Linked DNA regions of Stegostoma tigrinum. The protein of the gene in region 2 purifies or fractionates together with the protein of the main gene of each other region. This does not show direct contact. Links are inferred from orthologs where the notes say so. Each region holds a gene or a part of one and is shown on either strand. Other genes may lie near its edges.

The links. Proteins that work in one complex are often made in the same cells at the same time.
Region 1: the proteins of acaa2 (region 2) and pgd fractionate together in Homo sapiens (co-fractionation; 3 studies listed by BioGRID). This does not show direct contact. The link is inferred for Stegostoma tigrinum from reciprocal best matches to the Homo sapiens genes ACAA2 and PGD.

What each region holds. Positions count from the first base shown.
Region 1 is NC_081381.1:13,758,585-13,768,450, forward strand, and holds the start of pgd (6-phosphogluconate dehydrogenase, decarboxylating), read right to left. Parts: upstream 4,296-9,866; 5' UTR 4,195-4,295; coding exon 4,187-4,194; intron 1-4,186. UniProt on the Homo sapiens protein: Catalyzes the oxidative decarboxylation of 6-phosphogluconate to ribulose 5-phosphate and CO(2), with concomitant reduction of NADP to NADPH.
Region 2 is NC_081354.1:158,737,580-158,747,521, reverse strand, and holds the start of acaa2 (3-ketoacyl-CoA thiolase, mitochondrial), read right to left. Parts: upstream 4,101-9,942; 5' UTR 3,956-4,100; coding exon 3,940-3,955; intron 3,907-3,939; exon of another isoform or gene 3,680-3,906; intron 1-3,679. UniProt on the Homo sapiens protein: In the production of energy from fats, this is one of the enzymes that catalyzes the last step of the mitochondrial beta-oxidation pathway, an aerobic process breaking down fatty acids into acetyl-CoA.

The DNA of each region.
Region 1 (9,866 bases), on a different chromosome or scaffold from region 2:
TCCCACGATAAGACATTCTACTCCCGCACATCCCAGATGTCCAAGTTCTTCAAGGACCGCAACTTTCCCCCCACAGTGATTGAGAACGCCCTTGACCACGTCGCCCGTATTTCCCGCAACACATCCCTCACACCCCGCCCTCGCCACAACCGCCCAAAATGGATCCCCCTCGTTCTCACACACCACCCTACCAACCTCCGGATACAACGCATCATCCTCCGACACTTCCGCCATTTACAATCCGACCCCACCACCCAAGACATTTTTCCATCCTCACCCCTGTCTGCTTTCCGGAGAGACCACTCTCTCCGTGACTCCCTTGTTCGCTCCACACTGCCCTCCAACCCCACCACACTCGGCACCTTCCCCTGCAACCGCAGGAAATGCTACACTTGCCCCCACACCTCCTCCCTCACCCCTATCCCAGGCCCCAAGATGACATTCCACATTAAGCAGAGGTTCACCTGCACGTCTGCCAATGTGGTAAACTGCATCCACTGTACCCGGTGTGGCTTCCTCTACATTGGGGAAACCAAGCGGAGGCTTGGAGACCGCTTTGCAGAACACCTCCGCTCAGTTCGCAACAAACAACTGCACCTCCCAGTCGCAAACCATTTCCACTCCCCCTCCCATTCTCTAGATGACATGTCCGTCATGGGCCTCCTGCAGTGCCACAATGATGCCACCCGAAGGTTGTAGGAACAGCAACTCATATTCCGCCTGGGAACCCTGCAGCCTAATGGTATCAATGTGGACTTCACCAGTTTCAAAATCTCCCCTTCCCCTACTGCATCCCTAAACCAGCCCAGTTCGTCCCCTCCCCCCACTGCACCACACAACCAGCCCAGCTCTTCCCCCCCCGCCCACTGCATCCCAAAACCAGTCCAACCTGTCTCTGCCTCCCTAACCGGTTCTTCCTCTCACCCATCCCTTCCTCCCACCCCAAGCCGCACCCCCCGCTACCTACTAACCTCATCCCACCTCCTTGACCTGTCCGTCTTCCCTGGACTGACCCATCTCCTCCCTACCTCCCCACCTATACTCTCCTCTCCACCTATCTTCTTTTCTCTCCACCTTCGGTCCACCTCCCCCTCTCTCCCTATTTATTCCAGTTCCCTCCCCCCATCCCCCTCTCTGATGAAGGGTCTAGGCCCGAAACGTCAGCTTTTGTGCTCCTGAGATGCTGCTTGGCCTGCTGTGTTCATCCAGCCTCACATTTTATTATCTTGGAATTCTCCAGCATCTGCAGTTCCCATTATCTCAGATTTACGGACACTGTTTTCTTTATTATTGTTACTGTCTCATTTTCCAACAAAAAACAAATAGCTCACAGTCTTCACTGAAAGACACAACCAACTGCTCAATTTACAAATGAATATTAGCAATGAGTTCTGTGGATTGCTCAGACTCTATGTAATTGGTTAACCTTTTAAAACTGACTTTTATTCACTTTAAAAGAGAGATATTCTATACATATTTTCTAATCAACCTGTTCAGAGATGTTATTACATGGAGGAGGGGGGGGGGGGGGGGGGCTTTAACCACCCTATAATTACAACACATCCATGTGCCCAAATACTCCAAGGAAAAGTTCAGGATATTAACAAATTCCTCGTCAGTTATTCCAATCAACCCGATTGGACATGGTTGTTAGGTCTGATCTGTTGCCCCAGAGATAGGGTCACTATCACTGCTCCACATGACCCCTACATAGGATCGGGAGCTTAAATTCAACACTTTAGACTGCTTGGCCGCACCAAATTTCAAGAGATGTTCCATTCACTGCCACACAGAGCGGAAGCCAAAATAGCAATTACATTTGGAATTTGTTTGAAAAACAGAGTTAATGTTTTGGGTCCGGTGACCCTTCCTCAGAACTGTCACTGGACCCGAAACGTTAATTCTGTTTTGTCCTTCACAGATGCTGCCAGGCCTGCTGAGCTTTTCCAGCAACTTTGTTTTTGTTATCACAACAGCCACTTGAGTTTCCTGTCTTTCAAGCAAATTGTTGTGAAATGCTTTCTTTAAAAATAAATCACACAGCGTGGGCTTCACTGGCTTGAACCTACCAAGCCCTAATTGCCCAGAAACCAGTAAAGAGGCAACTGCATTGCTGTGGGTCTGCAGTGACATGTAGACCAGACCAGGTAGGACAGTGGAATTCCTGCCTTAAAAGGCATTACTGAAGCAGATGGGCTTCCCTCACAATCATCAACGTGGTCATTGTTAAGGTCTTAATTTCAGATTTTCATAGAATTCTAGTTCCAACAGCTGCCAAGATGGGATTCAAATGCAGGTCATCAGAACATTACCTGGGTCCCTGGATTATTAACCCAACAACAATACCACTAGGCCATCACCTCCCTACAGAGGTTGCAAGCAATGACCCTCCCAGTCCTCTCCCCCACCTCCAACCCCTGAAGGAAATCAGGGACACAAGGCTTCTATTAAGGAGGAGAAAATAGAGAGTTCCTCTCTTGGCTCATAGGTGGCCAGGAAAAACTCCAAAAAACTTTTCCAAAACTTCAAGGACAATTCAATGATGTCAGAAACAGCCGATTTCACTGGTCAATAGCTTGACAGGGTCGGGGAAAGGGAAACAAGGAAAGTATTGACTGGTTGGTTGGCTTCCTTCTACACTGCTAAATATTAGCACTTCCCACACACGGGACTCCTGTCAACAGAAAGGTGAAGGCAGCAGATCTAGGGGCATTAACAGCACTAAAGGTTGCCCAACCCTTTGTGTCTCTTTCCAAAGAAACTATTAAACTGGAGAGGGTTCAGGACAGATTAACCAGGATGTTAGAGATAACTTTTGGAGAAAATTTTCTGAAGAAGGGTCTCGGCCCAAAATGTCGGCGTTCCTGCTTCTCTGATGCTGCCTGGCCTGCTGTGTTCATCCGGCTCCACACTGTTTTATCTCTGACTCCAGCATCTGCAGTCTTTGCTATCTCTTAACCAGGATGTTGCTGGGTATGGAGGGTTTGAGTTATAAAGAAAGGCTGGATGGGCTGGGACTTTGTCACTGGAGCTTGGGAGGTTAAGAGGTGACTTGATAGAGGTTTATAAAATCATGAGTGGCATTGACAGGATTAACAGGAGCTATCTTTTAACTAGAATGGGTGATTTCAAATCTAGGGACACATTTTTAAGGTGTGAGGAGAGAGATTTAAAAAAAGACACAAGGGGCAAGTTTTTCTTTTACACAGAGGGTGGTTCGCACGTGGAACGAACCTCCCAAGAAGTTGTAATTGTACCAGTATCCACATCGTTTAAAAGACACTTGGTAAGTACATGAACAGGAAACATTTGCAGCAATATGGGCCAGGACCAGGCAGTTGGGACCAGCATAGTGTTCAGCACTGACTGAAGGGTCTGTTTCTGTGCTGTATAAGTCTATTCTCATGGCCCTGTTCTCACTCCAATGTATCCTACACCATTTCAAATATTTAGTCCATTTTTCCAGAAAAGATGTAAAATTCTATTACTTGAACGAGGGCATTCCACCAACCTGTGTAACGTCTCTCTCTTCACTTTTTATTTAATGACTACATTTCACTAGCTCCCCAAGCCATTTGGTTTAAACCCTTAAATCAGGGAAAGAGACTATTCTATTTCGTCTAAAAGTCACTGCTTTAGCAAAGGAACTCAAAGATCACAAATCACTCTTTGTAACTATTGTCCCTCCCTCCCAGTTAACCAGCGGCATCCTAGGGAGCTTGAAAGCACATCACTCTGATAGAATGTCTGGTGAGGGAACGCTCCTCCTAGCAGCTTGTGCAAGAGCTGGGAGAGGCCTAGGAGATCGTTAATATCCTCGTCTCTCCCCTGGGAAAGGGCAGCCAGCTCGAAAGCCCACAGAGCAATCAAGGAACGAGATATTCAAAAAGAGAGACGGAAGAGAAAATCGTCCTGATTCAAGTGAGCAAGCCCTTTAACTAACTCTGGACTCAAAAGCATATAATCACCTAGGGAAAGAAATCAGTACGAATTTAGCCAAGGAACCAAATGTTAAAAACGTTGAAAAAAAGCAACACAAGAGTGAAGTGCTGCCAGAAATCTGAAAGAAAAATGCTTGAAATCCGCTGATGGATACAAATTATTTGAGAGCATTAAATATAATGCTTATTTTACAAGAATCGATGCAGTAGAGACAATCCCTGCCCACCCCGAGAGGTATACTCACTCAGCCATGGTGCAATCTCAAATCTCTGGGCACTTGCTGCTGCGGGTTTGTTACATTTCAGCACTCAGATCCCGCCCCTCTAACACTTCTATTGGACAGCTGTGAGATTGATACACCGCGTTCTACGGGGAGACGCGCTATGATTGGACAACACGCCCATCAATCACAGACACGCGGAAGCTACGCGACTTCATCTTCAAGCCGGGGTTCGGAGCAGGCCATCACTGCCCTCTGCAAACCGAGAGCCCCGGGCCTTGGGGCTGTCCGAAGCGGGCAGTCCCAGGAACAGCCGATCGAGCCTGTCCTCACTCAGTCCCTTGATTTTGTGGGGTGACTCGCCTGGGCTTCAGCTAGCATCAGTTTTTTGCAAGTCAACATGACTTAACACTTTAGCAGGGGCAGAGCTTAGCAACCAGAGAGGGAGTGTGTGCATGGCATATGGGTGGGGGAAGTCAGGCTCCAGCACAGTGCTGCAATAAAAAAAAACTGCGAATGTGGAAATCTTGAAACAGAAAAGCAGAAACAACCGGAGAAACTCAGCAGGGCTGTCAGAATCGGTGGAGAGAGAGCGAGAGTGAGTTAATGTTTCGAGTCTAGTGACCCTTCTTCAGAACTGGTCCAATAATGTGCTTCCGGACAGCCTGAACTCACCAGCGGAGACTCCCCCCACAGTCTATCCCTGGCCATTGATTATGAATGGATAGGAGGAAATGACATTGTGAAAAATTAATCTTGCAATTCCTAAAGGGAAATCCCACATCTTTGCAAGACTTTTGACCTCATCCTTCACAGAGGACTGCTCAGTACCACAGTAAGAGCAGGAAATAGGGAACATCTGTCTAGTTTGTTGGTTCAGTTACGGACAGGGCAGATTTTCCTAGCCAATGAGAGCAGGCCTCTTTGATGTCAATCTGTAGCGATCAGCCAGGGCCAGATTTGTCATGCTCTTATGAAAGGTCATCAAACTGAAACATTACACGAAACTTTTGAGGGTCAGGAGGGCGTTGTGTATCAGGACAAGTGAGTTACAATTCGACCCCAGATCGCCAATTCCTCAGCTTCATGCTACATCCAGGCAATTGGCTCATGATAGGGGTGGGTGGGGGAAGGAGGGGGAGTAGAGGAATGGGGATGAATTCAGATAGTTAATGACCACGCGGACTTCCAGTTCCATTCGGCCATCAGAAAGGGAACAGTGTTGTGTGGAGGTAACTTCTTGGCAGCAGGCTGGTGAGCTCAGCTGCAGCCAGGTTTGAGGACCTCACAGTCTGCCTATATTTACCCTAGCACAAGTCACCTTGTGGAGTGGTGGCCCATGTGACAAGGCACATTTTATTTAAGTTTTTTATTGAAGTTGTAGTTAAGTCTCCATCACCTTTGCCACCTTCTCCTGTAATTAATTCCAAATATACTGTTCTGCTTATTCCAAGCTGGGGTCCCCTTATTGTCCCTTGCAGTTTGAGAGCCCACCCAAACTGAGGGATTGTTTCCCTCAGAGGCAGGTCTTTGAACTTCATGTAAACCTGATGGTGGAGTCCCAACCCCTCAATCTGCTTCTCTCTCTCTCTCTCTTCCCCAGCTCCCTCTGGACGCAGCAATTTGTTTTTATTTCAGATCTCTCACTTGGCTGCTCAACACCATGAGTAAGAATATCTCTACCAGTACAAAACATGGCACATTGATAAATCCAGGGACCATATAATTGGCCAAGTTACTACCTGCTAGATCTCCAGCATGTGCAGTTTTTTTTTATTTTTGGGGTCTTGTTTGATGTAATATCCAAACTCAAATTGAAACTGACACAATCGCCAGCCAAGTGATATCTCCTCGAGTCTAATTCCGTGACAAAAACTTTAAAATGTAATTTTGTTTAGAAGTATCCAAAGCAGAACAGCCAAAGGGAACTCTGCAGAAGGGTCACTGGACCTGAAATGTTAACTGCTTCTTTCTCCAAAATGCTGCCAGACCTACAGAGTTTTCCCAGCAATTTCTATTATCAGTTTCAGATCTTTCCCCCGGCCCCCTCCCAGTTTCTTTGTTTTATTTCCCATTGATGTCGCCGGTTGGAGTCGAACAGCACTTTGAAAAGAACAAAACCTACGAGATCACCACACTCAAAACATTAACTCTGTTTCTCTTGCCACAGTTGCTGCTAGCCTTGCTGAGTTTCTCCTACACTTTCTATTTCTGCTGCAGAGCAGAAATTGAGCTCATCGTGGCAGAATCTGACAATCCAGGAGGAAGAGAGGGTAGGTTGCTCTGCTTCCTTGAGCCTGGTCTGCCATTCGATAAGCACAGAGCTGGCCTGGAATACACCCTATACCCACCTACCACCCCCAGTAACCCCTCACCCCTCTTGCATTTCAAAGTTCCAGCAGACACAGTCCTAGCCTGTGCAACTTTTCCTTATCACTCCTGCTCCATTCCAAGCATTAGGCCAGAAAACCACCTCTGAATTGCTCCAGTCCAACCTGTCTCTGCCTCCCTAACCTGTTCTTCCTCTCACCCATCCCTTCCTCCCACCCTAAGCCACACCTCCATCTCCTACCTACTAACCTCATCCCACCTCCTTGACCTGTCCGTCTTTCCTGGACTGACCTATCCCCTCCCTACCTCCCCACCTATACTCTCCTCTCCACCTATCTTCTTTTCTCTCCATCTTCGGTCCGCCTCCCCCTCTCTCCCTATTTATTCCAGAACCCTCCCACCCCCCTCTCTGATGAAGGGTCTAGGCCCAAAATGTCAGCTTTTGTGCTCCTGAGATGCTGTTGGGCCTGCTGTGTTCATCCAGCCTCACATTTCATTATCCTGAATTGCTCCTTATGTATTTACAACTTTCATTAAATAAGGTGACAATGCTCTGTACTCCAGACATAGTCTCACTAATGCTCTCCACGATCCTGGTACTTTTACGTTCGTTATCCTTGTGATAATGGCATCTTTAGCTTACCTAATTACTTGCTGTACCTTTTGTGATTAATACACTGAGACACCCAGATCTCTCTGCATCTCTGAGCTCCGTACTATCTCATCATTTTGATAATATGCTCTTTCACTGTTCCTGGCAAATCAACATTTTTACATTTTCCCACACAATACTCTGTTTGTCAGATCCTCGCCCACTCACCTAACCCACATCTATTTGGAACCTCATTAGGTCGTCTTCACAAGTTACTTCCTTATCTATCTTTGTGACATTGGCAAATTTAGCAACATTCTTATGGTCCCTTCATTCAAGTTGTGTATACAAATTGTAAAACGTACAAAGCCATGTGGCACATCTTGCCAATCAGAAAATGACTAATAATGCCTATTAATTCCTGTGAGCTGGCTAATCTCTTCATTCTAATATGTATCCATACACCAAAGAGCTTTTATTTTCTGTAATAACTTTTGATGTGGAACCGTATCAAATATCCTTTTGCAAATTAATCAGTACATCCATAATTCTTCAACAAGCTCCAATAATTTTCTTGCAATAAATGCCAATGTGGCATTTGCCTTTCAAATTGCTTTCTACACCAACGTATTGGTTTTCAGTGACAATCAATATTTCCTAATCCCTTAAAGGAAAACTCTGTACTTGCATATCTTCATACTTATCCAGTGTATTCCATCAGCCTTGTTCTTGCCCATTGAGTCACATTATCCAAATCCATTTGAAATTACATTGCAACATCCTTACAACATATTCTCAACTAGTTTTATGACAGAGATAAACTTGGGAACATGAACACTCAGTTTCCACATCCTATTCATACAGATTGTGAACAGGTGACACCATGCACTGATCATTGCTGTATGCCACTAGATGCATCCTGTGAACCTGAATGACCTAATTATTCAAGATCTGTTTTGTCTCTTAACTGATCCTTAATCCATGCCAAAACATTACTCTCAATTCCACGTGCTTTAGTTTTTTTTTAAACTTCCCGATACCAGCGCAGAAGCCTTTCAAAAGCCCAGCTGTACCGGTTTCCAGCGAGTTTTGAGAAGATTTGTAGCTCAGGTTGAGGTTCTGGATGTGAGTTTGCTCGCTGAGCTGGAAGGTTCGTTTTCAGACGTTTTGTCACCATTCTAGGTAACATCATCAGTGAGCCTCCGACAAAGCGCTGGTGTTATGTCCCGCTTTCTATTTATCTGGTTAGGTTTCCTTGGGTTGGTGATGTCATTTCCTGTTCTTTTTCTCAGGGGATAGTAGATTGGCTCCAAATCAATGTGTTTGTTGATGGAGTTCCGGTTGGAATGCCATGCTTCTAGGAATTCTCGTGCATGTCTCTGTTTGGCTTGTTCTAGGATGGATGTGTTGTCCCAATCAAAGTGGTGTCCTTCCTCATCTGTATGTAAGGATACTAGTGATAGTGGGTCATGTCGTTTTGTGGCTAGTTGATGTTCATGTATCCTGGTGGCTAGCTTTCTGCCAGTTTGTCCAATGTAGTGTTTGTCACAGTTCTTGCAAAGTATTTTGTAAATGACGTTTCTTTTGCTTGTTGTCTGTATAGGGTCTTTTAAGTTCATTAGCTGCAGTTTTAGTGTGTTGGTGGGTTTGTGGGCTACCCTGATGCCAAGGGGTCCGAGTAGTCTGGCAGTCATTTCGGAAATGCTTTTGATGTAGGGGAGAGTGGTTATGGTTTCTGAGCCCGTTTTGTCTGTTTGTTTGGGTTTGTGGCTGAGAAATCGGCGGACTGTGTTCATTGGGTACCTGTTCTTTTTGAATACGCTGTATAGGTGATTTTCCTCTGCTCTGCGTAGTTCCTCTGTGCTGCAGCGTGTGGTGGCTCGTTGAAATAATGTTCTAATAATGTACTGGTTTCCCCCTCATCGGCCCTGCTAGTACCATAATCGAAAGGACCTCACCAGGTTTGTTAAATAAGTTTTCCCATTCACAAATCCACCTTCACTTCACCCAATCAAATCATTATTTTCTAATTCAACAAAATGTGAGGCTGGATGAACATAGCAGGCCAAGCAGCATCTCCGGAGCACAAAAGCTGACGTTTCGGGCCTAGACCCTTCCTCGGAGAGGGAACTGGAATAAATAGGGAGAGAGGGGGAGGCGGACCGAAGATGGAGAGTAAAGAAGATAGGTGGAGAGAGTGTAGGTGGGGAGGTAGGGAGGGGATAGGTCAGTCCAGGGAAGACGGACAGGTCAAGGAGGTGGGATGAGGTTAGTAGGTAGCTGGGGGTGCGGCTTGGGGTGGGAGGAAGGGATGGGTGAGAGGAAGAACAGGTTAGGGAGGCACAGACAGGTTGGACTGGTTTTGGGATGCAGTGGTGGGGGGGAAGAGTTGGGCTGGCTGTGTGGTGCAGTGGGGGGAGGAGACGAACTGGGCTGGTTTAGGGATGCAGTAGGGGAAGGGGAGATTTTGAAACTGGTGAAGTCCACATTGATACCATTAGGCTGCAGGGTTCCCAGGCGGAATATGAGTTGCTGTTCCTGCAACCTTCGGGTGGCATCATTGTGGCACTGCAGGAGGCCCATGATGGACATGTCATCTAAAGAATGGGAGGGGGAGTGGAAATGTTTTGCGACTGGGAGGTGCAGTAGTTTGTTGCGAACTGAGCAGAGGTGTTCTGCAAAGCGGTCTCCAAGCCTCCGCTTGGTTTCCCCAATGTAGAGGAAGCCACACCGGGTACAGTGGATGCAGTATACCACATTGGCAGATGTGCAGGTGAACCT
Region 2 (9,942 bases):
GGATTAGAATAGTCAGGCACTCATTTCTGACTGACACAGACTTGATAGGCTGAATGGCCTTTTTCTGTGCTGTCAACCTGTGTCCTTATGACCATGACTCCCATCCCCAAACCCTGCCTACTATCCCTAAATTGTTAGACTACTTACCTTATATTGGCAAATGAATGAGTAAAAATTTCCTCTAACTAAATATTGATATTCCAAATGAAGTTCATTGGACTCAAAATGTCAACTATTTCCCTCCCTGTTTTGATGGACCGGCTGTCTCTAACAGTTTTCATTTTGGATTTTAAACATCTGCAGTATTTTGCTTTTAAATATTAAGACTAAAACCACTGTCACAAACTCCTTTTGCTACTAACTCAATCCTGCCACTATCTACTGCTGAATCAGATCATTCATAACTTTACTACTATATCTGAGCCAATAAATGAGTTTCCAAGTCCATATCCAGTGTCACTGCCAAGTATTTCCACCTTATAACAGTACCTCGCCTCAGCACACCTACTGCTAGTATCATCATCCATGCCTTACTTAGACTCGAAATTCCAACACACACCTGGCCAGCTTTCTGTCTTCTCCCCTCCAAAAACTAAAGCCTACCTACATCCTAATTTGCACTATGTTCCATTATCCACTGCTCCTGAACTTCACTGAATTCCAAGTTGAGCAAAGCTGCAGTTTTAAATTTTTAATTCCATTTTTAGGACGCTGTTGGCTCCTTCTTACCTGTGCAGTTTCTTCTGCAAAACTTCAAGACATCTGCAAGCCACTTTTTGCACATCACTGATTTTAATTGCTCAACCAATGGCAACCATGCCTTCAGTTGCTGAAGCCATTATTTCCAATTCTCTGCAAACTTCTTGGTCTCTCTTCCTTTTGTTTCTCCTTCAAGATGCTGCTTAAAACCGTTGGTCATTTGCACTAATCTCATTATGTGAATCAGTGTCACATGTTGTTTAATAGAACTTAAGGACCCAATGACATTTTAGACATTAAAAATATTATATAAATGCATATCTAATTTCCATTTATAAAGGAAAAAGAAAAACAAAATTAGTGGCCATCAATGCAATGCAAGACAGTCACTAAAGAAAACAGACAATTCAAGAAACTTCTTTACAAGTGGGCAGTGAGAATCGCCGAGTAGTTGGTTTGAAAAGTATAGATGCATTTAAGAGAAAATTAGATAGAGAATAGGAGGGCCTACTGGTAACAGTCAGATAAGAAAGGATGGGAGGAAGCTTGAGGAGGGCACAAATGCAGGGCCGGACTAGATGGGTTGAATAGCTAATTTCTGTGCTGTATATAGTCCTGTAGTATCATCTCATCATATCTCATTGTTGGGGAAGACCAATCTGTCTGCCACATTTCCCTGTACAGTCTCAGCAATTTATTGGCTGCAAAGTGCTTTAGGATGAGGTCATAAGAGATACTTTAGAGATACAAATTTATTTTCCTTTTCTAAATAGTTTCTTTAAAATGCAGAACTCAGTAACTCAAAATTTCAAATGGCTTAAAATTCCTTTTAAATGCTCATACAAGCCTGCAATAAATATAGGCTGGATGCACATTTATTGCCCATCCCTAGTTGTCCTTGAGGGGCTGTGGTGAGCCACCTCCTTGAACCACTGCATTTGTGTCACTGTATACACAACTCTAGATTGGAGGGAACAACTGCTGGAAGGTAAAATATAAAGGCACAATGAATCAAAATATAAACATTTGCAATTACTAATAGATACATCAATCTCAGTTCTGCTTTTAGACATGTATCACATTTTGGTAACCTCTTAAAACAAATCATCTCTCCATTTATTAAGCAGAAATTTGACTTTTTTCATTCCTTGCCATTACAAATCTACACTCAAAGTTTCCCAAACAATTTGGGACATGTTAGCAGCACATGAACTACTATTTAAAAACCTCCCCGTTCATCACTTTTGAAAAATCTCTACTAGAAAAGGGGAAACCAGCTACTATTAATTCAAGTCAGAAGTCACCTGGCATCAGGTTATAGTCCAACGGGTTTATTTAAAATGTTTACTTGTTACTTTGGTTAGACCCTTATCAAGCAACTCTGATACCTACTGATGTTATTCCAGCATTTGGTTGGCTCTAGCACCATCTTATTTTTGACTATTTATAATATCTCTCTGCCTGAATTAATCAGTCCACAGGTAATCCCTTCAATTCTTATTTAGCTTGTTGACACGTTACTCGCCGTTTGACACTCCTGATCACCTGCAAAGACTTGTTATTCAGCCCGTCATCCACCACTCATTATTTGTACTTATCTATTGACACTCTTAATTACTTGGAATTATCTTGCCATTATCTCTCCATCTATATACTCTGCGCCCATGCCCTTCACTCCACTTCACCCGATGAAGGAGCAGTGCTAAAAAGCTTGTGATTTAAATAAATTTGGACTATAACTCAGTGTCATGTAACTTCTGACTTTATCCACCACAGTCACATTGGTATCTCCACATTATGAATTAAAGAAAAGAGACTGAAAAACCACTGATATTGTATAACCAATATGTTATTTCAGTCGTAGATGTGTACAATTGGGTCACAAGTTTCAATTATCTTTGAAGTGTGGTTGCAAGTTGGAAAACATAAAAGAAAACTTACATTTAGAGCAGGACACATCGTAATTGTAAGTGCAAGATTTCCAACAAAAGCTCCTCAACAAAAATCGTAAGTCACCTTCTGGTAGATCTGTTATGCTTTCAACCACCCTCTGTTTTCATTTTCTCCACAGCTAGCACCTCACTCACTTCCTCCAATACCATTCTTAAAATGTGTATCTTTTTGATTACACCATCAGTAACCTTTCCTACTTCTCACAAAAATACATTTTTTCTGTTAAAAAGAAAAGAACATCACAAACCTAATTCCCTGACCACTTAAGGCAAGACTGGACCCTAAAGAACAAACACAGAAGTTGATTACCAAAAGAACTGCAGTTGCTGTAAATCAGGAACAAAAACAAAGTTGCTGGAAAAGCTCAGCAAGTCTGGCAGCATCTGTGGAGGAGAAAACAGAGTTAATGTTTCAGGTTCGGTGACCCTTCCTCAGAAAGCTCAGTAGGTGTGGCAGCATCTATGAAGAAAAATAAGAGTTAATATTTTGGGTCCTGTGAACCTTCTTCAGAACTGCTGAACTTTTCCAACAACTTCTGTTGTTGTTCCTGATTTATAGCATCCATAGTTCTTACAGTGGACATTAAATAAGCCTTGTGAAATCAATATCCATTCCGAAATAAAAAGAAATGCTTGTGGCCACACTTCTTGGATACATCTCCACTAATTCAGCAGCCAGAAGGAAATCAAAAATTTCCAATCGTCAGGCATGCCATGTAAGAAGCAACTTCCTTTGACGAAAGCCATTCTTTAAAAATGAATACAATTTCTTGATTAAATAGAACTGCAATATATATTTTTAATATTGCACATTCTCACAATAAAAACCAAAGAACAGCGATACTTGAAACCAGAAACAAAAACAGAAGTTGCTGGGAAAGTTCACAACATCTGTGGAGAGAGCAAGCAGTGTTAATGTTTCGGGTCTATAGACCTTTCTTCAGAACTCCAATTCTCGCCTTTGCTTCAGTGCAAGTCCACTCGGCCCCATCTTAAAACTTCAAAAAGTTTTTAAAAGTGACTCCTACCGTATCTTCAAATGTTGACAGTTCACATCGCAACTCGGCTGGAGTTGACATACACTCTCCAAAAAGTTATGGATGGAGGCTTTTTAAACGGGACAAAGTTCAAGGATTATAACGGAGGCGAATGTTATTTCAAATTCAAACAGTGAACCCAACTGCAGTAAGGTGCCGGCATTTTATGATATTATGAGAAAGAATGGTGTTCCTTGTTTATTATTCTGCGATCCGAGCAGGTATATAAACATCGTTCTACTTTGACTCACCTCTGAGAAGAGCCATGCTATAAGACCGCCTCCACTCAAAGCCCTTCACTGTCAAACACAGAGAGCTTTCACCTACAGCTAGTTCTCCATCCGAGAGACAACATTCACTACGCTGGCCCTCATCACAATTGTCAAGCGCCTCATCGCAGCACAAAATGAAACAGAGGCCTTACAAAAGAACAAAACCCTGAGGCATAATTTAACTGAATAAGTTAATTAAATTTGCCCTATGAGACAAAGGGCGGATGACGAAACCTCAAGCCAGAATGATAAAATACATAATTTGGTACCTTCATGATAGACAGGGAGTCTATTTAAATCGCGCAGGGTTGATGATTGACATTTAAATGGACCGGTAGCAACAGGGAGTCCTACACAGTAGGCGGGGTTCTGGTCAGGCTGGCAGCGGCGACAAGTTCTGCGCATGCGCGGCAGCGGACGGGCGGTGCGGCTTAGTTTGAGGTAGCTTGAAAGTTTTGCTTCAAAGTAATGGAAATGGTGTTTGGCCGAGAGGAGCCGAGTTGGTCTTTTTTTTAGTGGGAAGAGGGACTAAAAACGACTCTTGATTTGTCAAAGATAATAAAATGTGAGGCTGGATGAACACAGCAGGCCAAGCAGCATCTCAGGAGCACAAAAGCTGACGTTTCGGGCCTAGACCCTTCATCAGAGAGGCCCGAAACGTCAGCTTTTGTGCTCCTGAGATGCTGCTTGGCCTGCTGTGTTCATCCAGCCTCACATTTTATTATCTTGGAATCTCCAGCATCTGCAGTTCCCATTATCTCTTGATTTGTCTGACTGAGTGAGTGTGAAATCGTTCCCCAGATGAACCTGTCTATTTTCCTTATATGATCGGGCCCTTGTTTGAGGATCCGGAGATGATTAAACTAACTTCGTGATGGGACCGTCTGAGTGGGTGAATGAATGGCTGTGTGCATCATTTTAAATTTAATCTTGGATGGAGTTTTCAGAGTAGGTTCAAGGAGCTGGGAGAGCAGCAGTGAATAATAACTGGAACTTTGATTGCTTTAGTTGATTTGGATAGGAAGTGGGGTGGATGTGGGGATTTGTTTCAGGCAGGTGCTTGATATGTAAAATATGGTCGATGATGACTAGCCCACTGCGCAATCCGAGTTCCACAATGAACCTGAATGATGGAATTAGTGCTGGAAAATGTCTGAGACCCGCATATGAACAATAATATTAGGCTGAATGATGGGATTTTCTTAGGTAGGACACGTCAGATATTCGTGAAGACATCTGAATGGGTATTTTTTTCAAACTAAACTAATCCCATCTGCCTGCCTTTGGCCCATATCACTCCAAACTTTTCCTGTTCATGTAAGTATTTAAATGTTACGTCTGTATCCGCATCTGCCACTTTCCCTGGCAGTTTATTCTACACGCTAACCTTTTTTTAAAGAGTCGCCCCTGATGTCCTCTTTTACATCTTTCTCCTCTTGTCTTACGAGTATGCCCCCTAGTTTTGAACTCCGCCCCCCCCCCCCCACCTTAGGGAAAGACCTTTGCTATTCATCTTACCAATGCCCCTAATGATCTTAAAAATTAAGTCAGCCCTCAAGCTCTTACCCTCCAGTGTAAAAAAAAAAGTCATTGTCTAGCTTAATCCTCAAATTTTCGATTCCCAATAACATCCTGGTAAATCATTTCTGATAAAGAGTCAATAGACCCAAAATATTAACTCTGATTTTGCTCCACAGATGCTGTCAGACCTGCTCAGTTTTTCCAGCAATTTGTTTTTGTTTCAGACTTCCAGCATCTACAGATCTTTCAGTTGTTAAATCTTTTCTAAACTTGTCCAGTTTAATAATATGCTTCCTGTAACAGGGTGACCAGAACTGCACACAGTATTCCAGAAGAGGCCTCACCAACATCCTGTACAATGTGACATGCCAGCTCCTATACCGTTCTGAGGAAGGGCCACCAACCTGAACATTTACCTTCTCAGATGCTGCCAGACCTGCAGAGCTTTTCCAACAATTTCTGTTTTTGTTCCTATATTCAAAGGTCTAAGCAGGGAATGCAAGTGTGCTAAACTGCTTAACCACCCTCTCTACCTATGACACAAATCTACCGACATCACCAACTGCTGTGCAATTGAAAAGGGAATGGAAACCAATTAATCGGCAATTTTTTTTAAACACGCAATTGACCCATCCTCAATACTGCTTAAAGAAAAACCAAAAGAACTGCAGATGTTGTAAATTGGAGACAAAAATAGAAATTGCTAGAAAAGCTGAGAAGGTCTGGCAGCATCTGTGGTGAGAAATCAGAGTTAACATTTTGGGTCAAATGGAGCCTTTCTGAGGAAGAGTCACTGAACCCTAACCATTAACTGATTTTTCTCCACATATACTGGCAGACTTGCTGAGCTTTGCAGAAATTTCTACTGTTGTTTTAATGCTATGTATGTTATTGTGCACATGTATGTTAAATGTGTTCAGATTTTACTAAGTATACTAGATGAGGGCAGATGTTGTGTTTGGTTCTGATACCCTTTGGCTGAATACTATGCTGGACTGTATTTTCCAATTGACATATTAATGGAACTCATTAATTTTACAAATAAGTGTGTAATTTCCTTACCTGTTTGGAATTGAATGCATATTGCAGCAACCACAATCATTTGGTAATCCCCATGTTTGTGTTTATTTTTAAAAATGCATATATGCTATTAAGTTACCAACTACTTGGAGTTGAGGTTAAAATAAGAATTGTTCTGTCGCACATTCTTCCCTATCTAAATCACTGCTTCACATATCATGAAATCTGAGTTCAGTGGGTAAGAGGGAAGGCAAGTAGAATGTCTTTATTTCAAAGGGAATGGTGTATAAATTGGGAAAGGTTTTGCTGAAACAATACAAGGCATTAGTTAGACCATAGCAGGAATACTATGAACAGTTTTAGGCCTGTTACCTAAGGAAGGATATACCAGCATTGGAGCCAGTCCACAGAAGGTTAGCTAGGCTAATACTGGGTATGGAGGGACTGTGTTTTTAGGAGAGATTTGAGCAGAGTGGGCCTGAACTTCTTAGAGAAGACAAACATACAAAATTCTTAGGGGTCTTGACAGGGTAGATGTGGAAGAATTGTTTCCCCTTGTGGGAGAGCTTTAGGACAAGAGGACATAATCTGAATAAGGGGCTTCACACTTAAGACAGATGAGGAAGAATTTCTGAGGGTAGTGAATCAGTGGAATTCTTTGCTGCAAAGAGCTGCAGAGGCTAGGCCGGTAAATGTGTTCAAAGCTGAGATTTTTTTTATCAGTAAGGGAATACAGTTCTGGGGAAGCCAGGAAACTGGAGTTCAGGATTATCAGATCAACCATGATCTCATTGAATAGCCTATTTCTACTCCTACTTCTATTTGGTCATTACCAATTGTTACTAGTGTCACATTATCTGTGAAATTTTATTCACTGCACTATATTGTAATTTCTAAGTCAATGATGCATAATCATGAAGATGACATAATCATGAAACATTACTACAGCTTTTTTTCTGGTCATGCAAAAAATTCATATCCATGTTGCAACTGCCCCTTTTATTCCATGAGTACTAATTTGCTTGTAAATTTGTTGTGTGTACTTTATCAAATGCCTTTTTGAAGTCCATGTACACCACATCAACAGCATCATCCTCATCAAACCTCTGATACTAAAACAAAATAGCAGACAAATTAGTTAAACGTGATGTGCACTAATCGTGTTAGTTTTTTTAAAGAATTAATCTGCATCTGCCAAAGTGATTATTAATTTTATCCTGAATTATTCGTGTAAAAAAAATCTCTCCATAATGGAGGTTAAACTGATGGGTATACAGTTTCTCATCTTTGTACCTTTTCGAACAAGGGTGCAACATTTTGCAATTCTCCAGTCTTCTAGCACCAACTAAGTGGAAAGAGGATTAAAAGTTATGGCCAATACCTGCTTTCTCAATTCACTTCTCAGTAAAATTGAGTGCATCTTACCCTACTGCCTTCAGCTGTGCACCACGTTGTCCCACAAGAAAGAAAGAGAAAAATGTATTCAATGATTCTCATATAATCCATCTGGATGCTGTGTTTGTCATAAAACAAATTGCAGTTCAAACCCAATAAGTTTGGCAGCAACTGTGGAGAAAAAGCAGAATTAATGTTTTGAGTTCAGGGACAATTCTTCAGACCTGATAGTCACTGTCATGTTTGAATAGTTGGTTTAAGTATGCAAGCTGTGAGATGTTAGGGTGAGGCTTGCAACAGTGCTATGCGTATGAAATTGGAGTGAACTATGTGAACATGAAGTACAATCTCTGACCGATATATTGTTGGTAAATACAGGATAGGAGTACATGCCCAAGGCAAGTGATAAAGCTGATAAGACCCAGCATTGAAAATGCCGCCACTGATTTTGACATTTGAAATTTTGAAGCACTGCTGCAAGCTGCCTTGGGCTGGATCTGCCATTGATATTCAGGGATGTCTGCTCCTGCTTCCTTTTATATGTGTGATTGAAAATCTTGGCCCCCAGCAGATGGGACAACTTTCGTATTTTTCACTAAAGTCATAGAGTAATACAGCATGAAAATAGACCCTTTGATCCAATTTGTCCATGTAAACCAGATATACTAAATTGATCTAGTCCCAATTGCTGGCATTTGGCTCATTTCCCTCCTAACCCTTCCTGTTCACGTGGCTGTCCGGATGTCTTTTAACGGTGGCTCAGTCGTTAGCACTGCAGTCTCACAGCACCAGGGACCCGGGTTCAATTCCAGCCTGGGGTAACTGTCTGTGTGGAGTTTGCACATTCTGCCTGTGTCTGGTGGGTTTCCTCCGGGTGCTCCGGTTTCCTCCCACAGTCCAAAGATGTGCAGGCTAGGTGGATTGGCCATGCTAAATTGTCCAAAATGTTCAGAGGTGCGTGGGTTATAGGGGATTGGGTCTGGGTGGGATATATCAAGGGGCAGTGTGGACTTGTTGGGCCAAAGGGCCTGTTTCCACACTGTAGGGATTCTAATTTAATCTAATCAAAATGTCGTAATTGTACATGCCTCCATCAGTTCCTCTGGCAGTTCATTCCACACACACCACTCTGCATGAAAATGTTCACCTCTCACCTTTATAGTTATGCTATCTGGTTTTGAGCCCTGCACCCTGAGAAAAAGACCTTGGCTATTCATCCGATCCATGCCTTTACTGATTCTGTAAACCTCTATAAGGGCACCCTTCAGCCTGTGACACTCCAGGGAAAAAAACCCCAGCCTATTCAGTGTGGAGCTGCACAAACGTAGCAGGCTAGGCAGTATCAGAGGAGCAGGAATGTTGACTTTTCGGGTCGAGACCCAGAAGAATCCTGATCCAAAATGTCAATTTTCCTGCTCCTGTAATGCTGTCTGGTGAGCTGTGTTCCTTGAGTTCCACACTGTTGTCTCTGACTCCAGTATCTGCAGTTCTTGCTATCTCCCAGCCTATTCAGTCCCTCTCAGTAGCTCAAGCCCTCCAATCACAGCAACATCCTTGTAAGTCGAAGATTGTCAAGATATGAAATTTCCTGGCTAAAAAGAACTATTGTTGCTGCAGAGACCATAACTATTTTGTTAAATATGATTGTGCCTTAAAATTTTTAAAGGTTATGCATAATGAGCCTGTTCAAAGGGCTGAATGGGATACTACTGCTCCTGATTCATATCTTTTTATTTCAGATTAAACTAGATAACTGAAATGGAAGCTTACAGGGTGTGATATGGATGAAAGCAAGCATGCAGGTACAGTAGGCAGTGAAGAAAGCTAATGGCATGCTGGCCTTCGTAACAAGAGGAATTGAGTATAGGAGCAAAGAGGTCCTTCTGCAGCTGTACAGGGCCCTGGTGAGACCGCACCTGGAGTATTGTGTGCAGTTTTGGTCTCCAAGTTTGAGGAAGGACATTCTTGCTATTGAGGGAATGCAGCATAGGTTCACGAGGTAAATTCCCAGAATGGCGGGACTATCTTATGTTGAAAGATTGGAGC